Xenopus tropicalis: one gene and its partner. The main gene of each other region encodes a partner of the protein of the gene in region 2 in a complex. Links are inferred from orthologs where the notes say so. Each region holds a gene or a part of one and is shown on either strand. Other genes may lie near its edges.

Region 1 (4,197 bases), on a different chromosome or scaffold from region 2:
ATATAAATATATTTACCAACAACACTCTCAGGAGGACCTTGGTCATATCCTCCTCTGTTGAAGCCTCCACGTCCGCCTCCTCTTCCAAACCCACCTCTTCCACCACCCTGTCCATAACCTCCACGGCCACCTCCTCTTCCTCCAAAACCACCACCTCCTCTTCCTCCTCCTCCACCTCTGTTAAAGCCTCCTCTCCCTCGGAATGACATCCTTATTGAAAGAATAGTTGGAGCAGTGATTTTTAAGTCATCAATAAAAGTCAAATGTAATGAAACAATAAACATATGTCAGTTTTAAGCAGTCAGTAGGGTGGCTTTACAATTACCCATACCAATAACCTATAGGACACTATTAAAATTATTATGCAAATACATGTACAGGTGCTACTTGGGATATTTGAGACTTGGGGTTTTTTTGGATAAGCAGCCTGTTAAATAAAAAAAGGACTGTATTGTGCTCATCATATATTTATGCGAGTCTCGTTACCATCAATGAGAAGTGATGAACTGTTTGTTAAATTGGACACTATTGGAAATGGCATTCCCACATAATGCTGATTACTGATATTAGGTTTCTGGATAATGCATCTCATACCTATATGTCTCATGGAACTTTTTCAGCTTCAAATTGATAAGCAAAATGGGGTATTTATAAATGTTAAATAGAGATTGTGTCACTGAACTACATAAAGACAAAACTCTTCCAAACAATAAGTAACCCGAAGATCTCCATATGTGTTTGGACTACAACTCCTAGTTTTCTACCAACAGATGTCAAAATGCATGCATTACCATGCTTGACAAAGAATACTATCTTCGAGGTAGCATTTTGCTATGCAGGGGCAAGCTCATTTAATGTACTAATCCTACAGTGGTGCAGTACAGAGTTAGAATCTATATTTGCTGCATTGTGGGGGGAATATATAGTGCAAAGTTAAAAGGAAAACTATACCCCCCAGAATGAATACCTAACCAACAGATAGTTTATAATATGCTAAGTAGGCTATTAAAGAATCTTATCAGTAAATATTGCCCTTTCCCTTGATTCACCATTTAGTGATGGGCTGTGTGCTCCCTCTGAGATCACATGACCAGAAATAATGCAACTGTAACAAGAAGTAGTGTGGAAGCAAAAGACAGAACTGTCCACTGAATACATGTGTGCCTTGGCTTGTTTGTGTGCACTGTGAATCTTATGATCCCAGGAGGCAGCCCTTAATTCTTGAAATGGCAATTTTCTATTTAGGAGTACCCAATAGCACATACTACTAAAAAAGTATATTTTTATGAAAACGGTTTATTCAGATGAAGCAGGGTTTTACATATGAGCTTGTTTATGCAATATGTTTTTATAGAGACCTAATTGCTTGGGGGTATAGTTTTCCATTAGGTGAAGTCACCTAAACAGTTAAAAATCATACAGTTTAGCCATGCATTCAAGCAACCAAATAATGATTTCTTTAACGGGTAAAAGATTGTTGAATCTCAGGTAGTCTGGGCACACAGTTAAGTAGTCATGTCAAACCTCTGTGATCAGTGTAACACTATTTAAATGGAAATCGAACAGAATAATAAAAAATTTTAGTTACATTATGGGGCACATTCATCAATGTACGATTGAGTCTGAATACTAAAAATTCATATTTTTTCAAAATTTTAGAACGGTGCGTATTTTCTGCGATTTTCTTGTTAATTTGTGCAACTTTTTCATTCTTTGTGACAATTTGTACGACAAAATCATATTTGTCGCAACGAGTACGAAAGTTTTGGAATTTATTAAAGCTTTGTTATCGTAGCTTTCCTTTGGCCAGGTCGGAGCTGCAGAGTGCCATTGAGCCCTATGGGAGACTTTCCTTGGGCCGGGTTGGAGCTGCAGAGTGCCATTGAGCCCTATGGGAGACTTTCCTTGGGCCGGGTTGGAGCTGCAGAGTGCCATTGAGTCCTATGGGAGACTTTCCTTGGGCCGGGTTGGAGCTGCAGAGTGCCATTGAGTCCTATGGGAGACTTTCCTTGGGCCAGGTTGGAGCTGCAGAGTGCCATTGAGCCCTATGGGAGACTTTCCTTGGGCCAGGTTGGAGCTGCAGAGTGCCATTGAGCCCTATGGGAGACTTTCCTTGGGCCAGGTCGGAGCTGCAGAGTGCCATTGAGTCCTATGGGAGGCTTCCAAAATCATGCACAGAAGTTTAACAGTTTTTGCACTGTCACTTTGATAAATGTGCCCATATTTGTCTGCCATAAACATTTGCTTACATGAAGATGAACTGAACTGCAACTTTAAACAACCCCCTGACACACTTTGATAGTAAGCATAGTATTAGTTGAAAATCATTTCATGTGCCCATCACTTATGTATATAAGCAATGACATAACTCCATGATCCCCATACTAAATCCAGGCAATGGATGACAAAATATTATCTGACCAAATAGCACTGGAGGGCCTGGATGTATAATAATGTTAAAATCAATGTTACATGAATTAGTGACCTGTAATGATCAGGGGTGAAGCACAGAGTGGAAGAATATCGTCACAGGGAAGTATAACCTCCAGCCCTCCATGCAGGCTCAACATCTGTTTGATCCGAGCTAGAGAACAGTATTTTAAAACCCAGGATAGCAGTCGTACACCCTTACTTTTCATCTCAACGATCATTGGACTGGACAAATAAAATGAAATGCATGTTTTAAAATGACCATGACAGATCGTATCTACCCTCAATTAAGCAATGAGTTACATTTACCTTTAGTTGCGTTTGGCTTCCTGCATGCGGCACTCTGAAACTACCCAGAGTACACTCCGGCACACGTTCCCACCACTTCCGACTCAACAACACGTGGACTGCGTACATCGTACTTGGGCGCACAGCATTCACGTCATCAAACGGCGCGGCTATTAAAGGAAACGCGCTTACGTGTTTGTGTCCATTTACTGAACTGAATGAATGGAGTCAATGAGAGCTTCTGTGATTTGGTTAGGGAAAGGCAAAGCTGGACGCACCGCAGAAAATAACGCATATATTTAGCTTATTACCGAGCAGCCAGTAATTATGGTACCGCTTGGTATTGTAATTGAACTCAGTTGCTGAACTAAAATACCCCATTAAAAATGGATTTTACATCGAAAAGCAGTTGAATTAATCCCATTGGGTGTATGTAAAAAATCTTTTGGGGATGGGGCTAGCAAGTAGATAAAATAATCATGAGTAATAATTCTCCAATTATTTTTGGCAGCAAGGCACAAATCTAGAGAGTGGGAGGGTAACACACTTAAAAGAAATATGGGAAAGCTGAACTGGTTATGGATTTAACTAGCCCAATGGGAGAAAAGAAATGCTATACAGATACAGATATAATTCTGTGTGTGTTGGGGGGTGGAGGTATAGTATAACTATTTCTAAATATACAAAATTACTCGCACATAGAACAAAAGTACACAAGGTTTGGACATTGGCCCTTAATCACAGGACTTGACCAATTAATGACAATTACATTTACAAATAACTTTTAAAGCACTGAAAATCTTTAATAAATTCATTTTGGAAGGTTGCCTAGAATTATGTTTTTTTTGTATTGGGCAAAAATGTAGTTTTGGGATTGACATGTCTTTTAAAGATTCGGTTTGGCCAGGACCATGGATTCGACTGAATCCTGATGAAAAAGGTAGAATCTTGGCCAAATCCCTAACTGAATCCTGGATTCATGCATCCCTAATTTGCATTAGAGTATCAAAAAGCAGAGGATAAGTCCAGGCAATGAGAACAGGGTAGTGTCCTTTGGCCTTGGCATCTAGAGATCATTTGCAACTCTACATAAGGATGTTTCAGTGGAGGGTGCAGCTGTTTTAAAGATAGAAAAGTACCAGAAAATTGTTTGCGGGTAGAATTGACTTTGCTTTTAAAATAGCAAAGTTCCAGGGGCTATGTTTAGACGTGAGTGATTTATTTGGTAAAGGATGAAGAAGTGAGTAGAATATGGTAACCAAGCACCATGGATTGTTTTTATTATTTATAAGTGTATTATAGTATTTTTGCTTGGCCTGGGATAGGGCAGCATTGAGGCAGTCCATAAGAAATGTATAGCGGAGGGAGTCTACTGTACACTGTGCCTGCAATGAAATGTGGAAGGGGGGGGGGGCAGCACCCTGTGTATGTAAGGAAATTCTGGGGGACCCACACACTTTTCCTCTGCTGAGATGTTGG
Region 2 (4,044 bases):
TGCTCAGGACCTGGGGGTTCTTGGATAAGGGATCTTTCCGTAATTTGGATCTCCATACCTTAAGTGTACTAAAAGATTATTTACTGTATATACTCGAGTATAAGCCAATCCGAATATAAGCCGAGGTACCTAATTTTACCTAAGAAACCTGGAAAAACTTATTGACTCGAGTATAAGCCTAGGGTGGGAAATGCAGCAGCTACTGCTAAGTTTTTTTTTTTTTTTTTTTTTTAACAGTCAGGCAAGTTTGGGAAGGCTAAGGAAGCTGCCATACTAAGTATCAAGTACTTGCCATCCTGCTGTGTGTGCTCCCATCGCAATGCAGCATGTCTCCCAGCACAACTGACAGCAAAGCTTCTATTTGTGAGAGTGCTCAGCCAGAATGGCAGTAGCTTCTGTGGAACTACACATCCCAGGAGGCCATTAATATGTAGGCAGGAGGGGAACATGAGCCGAGCCAGGAGCAAGATAACACTTCCCAAGGGCAGTTATACCCTCACTGTAGCCACATAGTCAGGTGTGTCCCCGATATATATATATAATTTGATATGACAAATCTATCATATCAAATTATATATGAATTATTGGCATGTCTGCTCCCAGGACTCTCCCTCTACCCTGCCATGGTTATGCTTCTGTATATGATTTTTTATCTGGAAACCTGGTATCCCCCATTTTTTTTTTTTTTTTTGAAACAGCTATAAGACCCCTTAGTGCTTTCTAAAAATTCGTTTTTTTAATTAAAATAATAACACCATGTTCTAGCAACTTGTAGGGGGTCTCCTGTACTTCATATCTTCACAAGCAAATCCTTATTACATGTGGAGTGGGCGGAGCTAGAAGTGATCAAGTTACACAGGGCGACCCGCACAGCGCCGCAGTCTCTTCCGGGGCACTGAGTGAGCTAGCCGGTTGCTGGAGCTCACAGCCCCCTCTGCCTGCAGCGGCCGGAGAGGGAGGTACGGGGGGGGGGCGGGATTTGCGAGCGTACGCACAGTGGGCGTGCGTGCACAACGAATTACAAAACCATATACTCGAGTATAAGCCGAGGATGACTTTTTCAGCACATTTTTGGCAACCACTGGTACACACTGAAATGAACTGTCAGTTTAGAAGAAAAGTGAAGGAAAAAGAATACTCACTGATTTGGATGGAACGTATGAATAAGGAATGCCGCGATCCTCACACATTACAGGGATGTGACAATACACCTCAATGGGAAGGGTGTCACCAGCCATTACTACAATCCTAAAAATATTCAGAAGTCAGAACTGTACAGTAAGCTACTATTACCGTGGAGGTTAATTGATGTTTCAGAAAAGGATAAGTGTTCTTACCCTTTCTCTCCTTTGTTGATGAACTTTTGTACTTCCTTCACTCCTCTGCGGATATTCTTTTGTTTTATGGCTGAAAGGGAAAATAGAGGGATCTTTAGGATACATCCATATTGTAGTAATTCTTCCAAAAACCTCTTGAACGGAATGGCATTGTTTATGCTTCTGATTATTACAGTGTGTACATATTTCAGAAAGCGGTGAATTCAAAAACCTCTATTACTGGCAGATTAAGTAAAAGGCATATCTATCATTTAATGGACAAGTATTTATGGTCTTATTGATGAAATGTTTAAGAAAGCAAGTCCTGCATTTTTTGCAGTTGTCCCTTGCAGGCAACCAGAGAGCCCTGCTGTGAGCTCTCTAAATGCTCTAGGCCAGAGATCCCCAACCTTTAATACTCGTGAGCCACATTCAAATGGAAAAAGTGTTGGGGAGCAACACAAGCATGGAAAATGGGGGTGCAAATAAGAGCTATAATTGGCTATTTGGTAGCCCCTATGTGGACTGGTAGCCTATAGAAGGCCCTGTTTGGCTTTACACTGGGTTTTATGCAACCAAAACTTGCCCCCACGCCAGAAATTAAAAAATAAGCACCTGCTTTGAGGCCACTGGGAGCAACATCTAAGGGGTTGGAGAGCAACATATTGCTCATGAACCACTGGTTGGGGATCACTGCTCTAGGCCCTCAGATGGCAGACCTGTGGTGAATCTTAGTGACACTGGTTCACAATAAAATGGAGGGGGGGGTCAAGTGTTCACAAGGGCTCCATAACAGTGCAGGCAGTGCTTTATATGAAGCCACAGTTGGTGGCAGGGTTTATGAATGGGGAAACCTCTCAAACATCCCTTTACAGTGACAGGAAGCAATTAAGCTTTGGCTGACTTTCAGCCGTTATAGTTCTGCTTATTAGGAATTATTGCATATTTTTCATTCATGTTAGCACTAGATTTTAGAAATTATGCCTAAAGCTCACTTTTAAAAGAACTGAACATATTCCTGTGAATTGAGTGTCACTAGCTAAAAGCCTCTACTGAATCCCTGCACAGGATTTCAGCGGAAGTCGAAGTTTATAATCGCTGTACATCGCAGTGACTGTATCCACATTTGTGCGCAAGAAGCCGGACTGACTGCTATCGCTTTTAAAACACATTTCAGACAAGATGCTCCAACAACAATTCACGGGATGTGTTAAACTCTAATTACAGCCCCACCATTCGCCTGAAAGAGCCAGCGGCCATTGAAGTAAGCATGGTACCTTTCTTTACACATTTGTATAGTTTCTTGGTGAGTTTGCGGCCCGCCAGCGGCTTAGCGATGGGGTTTAGATACGCCAACAGCTCATCGTAAGACTTGCTCGGCGTTTCGGGCACTTCCTCCGATTCCTCCTTCTTTGCTTTAGTCATTTCGCTAGATCACAGACGAGCAGGCTCAACGCACAACCACGTGTAACCGCGCACACTCGCACAACTGAGCACTTCCGTGTCCGGTGGGAGGGGCATATGCAAAGCAATCTGTGACTTGCGCTCTAGTCTCTGCGTAAGGAAAACTTCCGGCCATGAATATGCGGTATTGCAGAGAATATTGACTTTACTGTGGTGTATAGTTTGTATGTATGGTTAATATCTATAGTAGAAAGGAAATAAATTAATCATTGGTTAGAGAGATAGTTTCTTTCCAAGGGAAGGACCTAAAGCCCTCTAGTGGTGAGGTAGATACAAGTACAGGAAAGAGTCCAATCTGCAATGATAACGATAAATAATACCCATAATACCGGGACCCTCGTTGCGCTTTAGGAGTAAGGTCCTAAATAACGATAAACTCCAGTCTCTTTTGATATATCCAGCTAATTCTCATCCTGAGAAACACCATAACGTTTTTGTCTGGTAAACAAAATTGCCATTAAAGGGGGTTGTTCACCTTTCTGTTAACTCTTAGTATAATGTAGAGCAGTGATCCCCAACCAGTGGTTCATGAGCAACATGTTGCTCCCTAACCCCTTGGATGTTGCTCCCAGTGGCCTCAAAGCAGGTGCTTATTTATGAGTTTATGGTTAGGAGCCAAGGTTTTGTTGCATAAAACCCAGTGTAATTGGCAAACAGAGCCTTCTGTAGGCTTCCAGTCAACATAGGGGCTATCAAATAGCCAATTATAGCTCTCATTGGCACCTCCGGGAACTTTTTTCATGCTTGTGTTGCTCTCCAAAATTTTTTCCATTTGAATGTGGCTCACGGGTATAAAAGGTTGGGGAACCCTGATGTAGAGTGTAATATTCTCAGACAATTTGCAACTAGTCTTCATTTTTATTCTTTCTAGTTTTTTAGTTTCACTTTTTGTTCAGCAGCAATTTGGTTGCTAGGGTCCAAATTATCTTAGCAACCAGGGAGCTGTTTGAATGACAAATGATAAATGAACAGGAGAGGGCCTGAATAGAAAAATGAGGAATAAAAAGTAACAATAAAAATAAAACTGGAGCCTCACAGAGCAATAGTCTTTTGGCTGCCGGGGTCAGTGACCCCAATTTGAAAGCTGCAAAGAATAAAGGCCCCCATACACGGGCCGGTCCCTTGGACCGATTCGGCAGCTAATCGGCCTGTGTGTGGGCAGAAACGAGCAGCCTGGCCAACCGATATCTGGCCTGAAATTGGCCAGATATCGATCGGCCAGGTTAGAAAATCCAGTCGGCTCGGGGACCGCATGGGCTCGTTG

Evidence for each region. The genes of interacting proteins can lie anywhere in the genome.
Region 1: nhp2 (region 2) and gar1 share a complex: the UniProt entries of both Homo sapiens proteins name them as parts of the H/ACA small nucleolar ribonucleoprotein (H/ACA snoRNP) complex. The link is inferred for Xenopus tropicalis from reciprocal best matches to the Homo sapiens genes NHP2 and GAR1.

Annotation. Positions count from the first base shown.
Region 1 is NC_030677.2:68,656,226-68,660,422, forward strand, and holds the start of gar1 (H/ACA ribonucleoprotein complex subunit 1), read right to left. Parts: upstream 2,801-4,197; 5' UTR 2,740-2,800; intron 211-2,739; 5' UTR 210-210; coding exon 17-209; intron 1-16. UniProt on the Homo sapiens protein: Required for ribosome biogenesis and telomere maintenance. Part of the H/ACA small nucleolar ribonucleoprotein (H/ACA snoRNP) complex, which catalyzes pseudouridylation of rRNA.
Region 2 is NC_030679.2:47,807,131-47,811,174, forward strand, and holds the start of nhp2 (H/ACA ribonucleoprotein complex subunit 2-like protein), read right to left. Parts: upstream 2,801-4,044; 5' UTR 2,742-2,800; coding exon 2,594-2,741; intron 1,408-2,593; coding exon 1,338-1,407; intron 1,249-1,337; coding exon 1,143-1,248; intron 1-1,142. UniProt on the Homo sapiens protein: Required for ribosome biogenesis and telomere maintenance. Part of the H/ACA small nucleolar ribonucleoprotein (H/ACA snoRNP) complex, which catalyzes pseudouridylation of rRNA.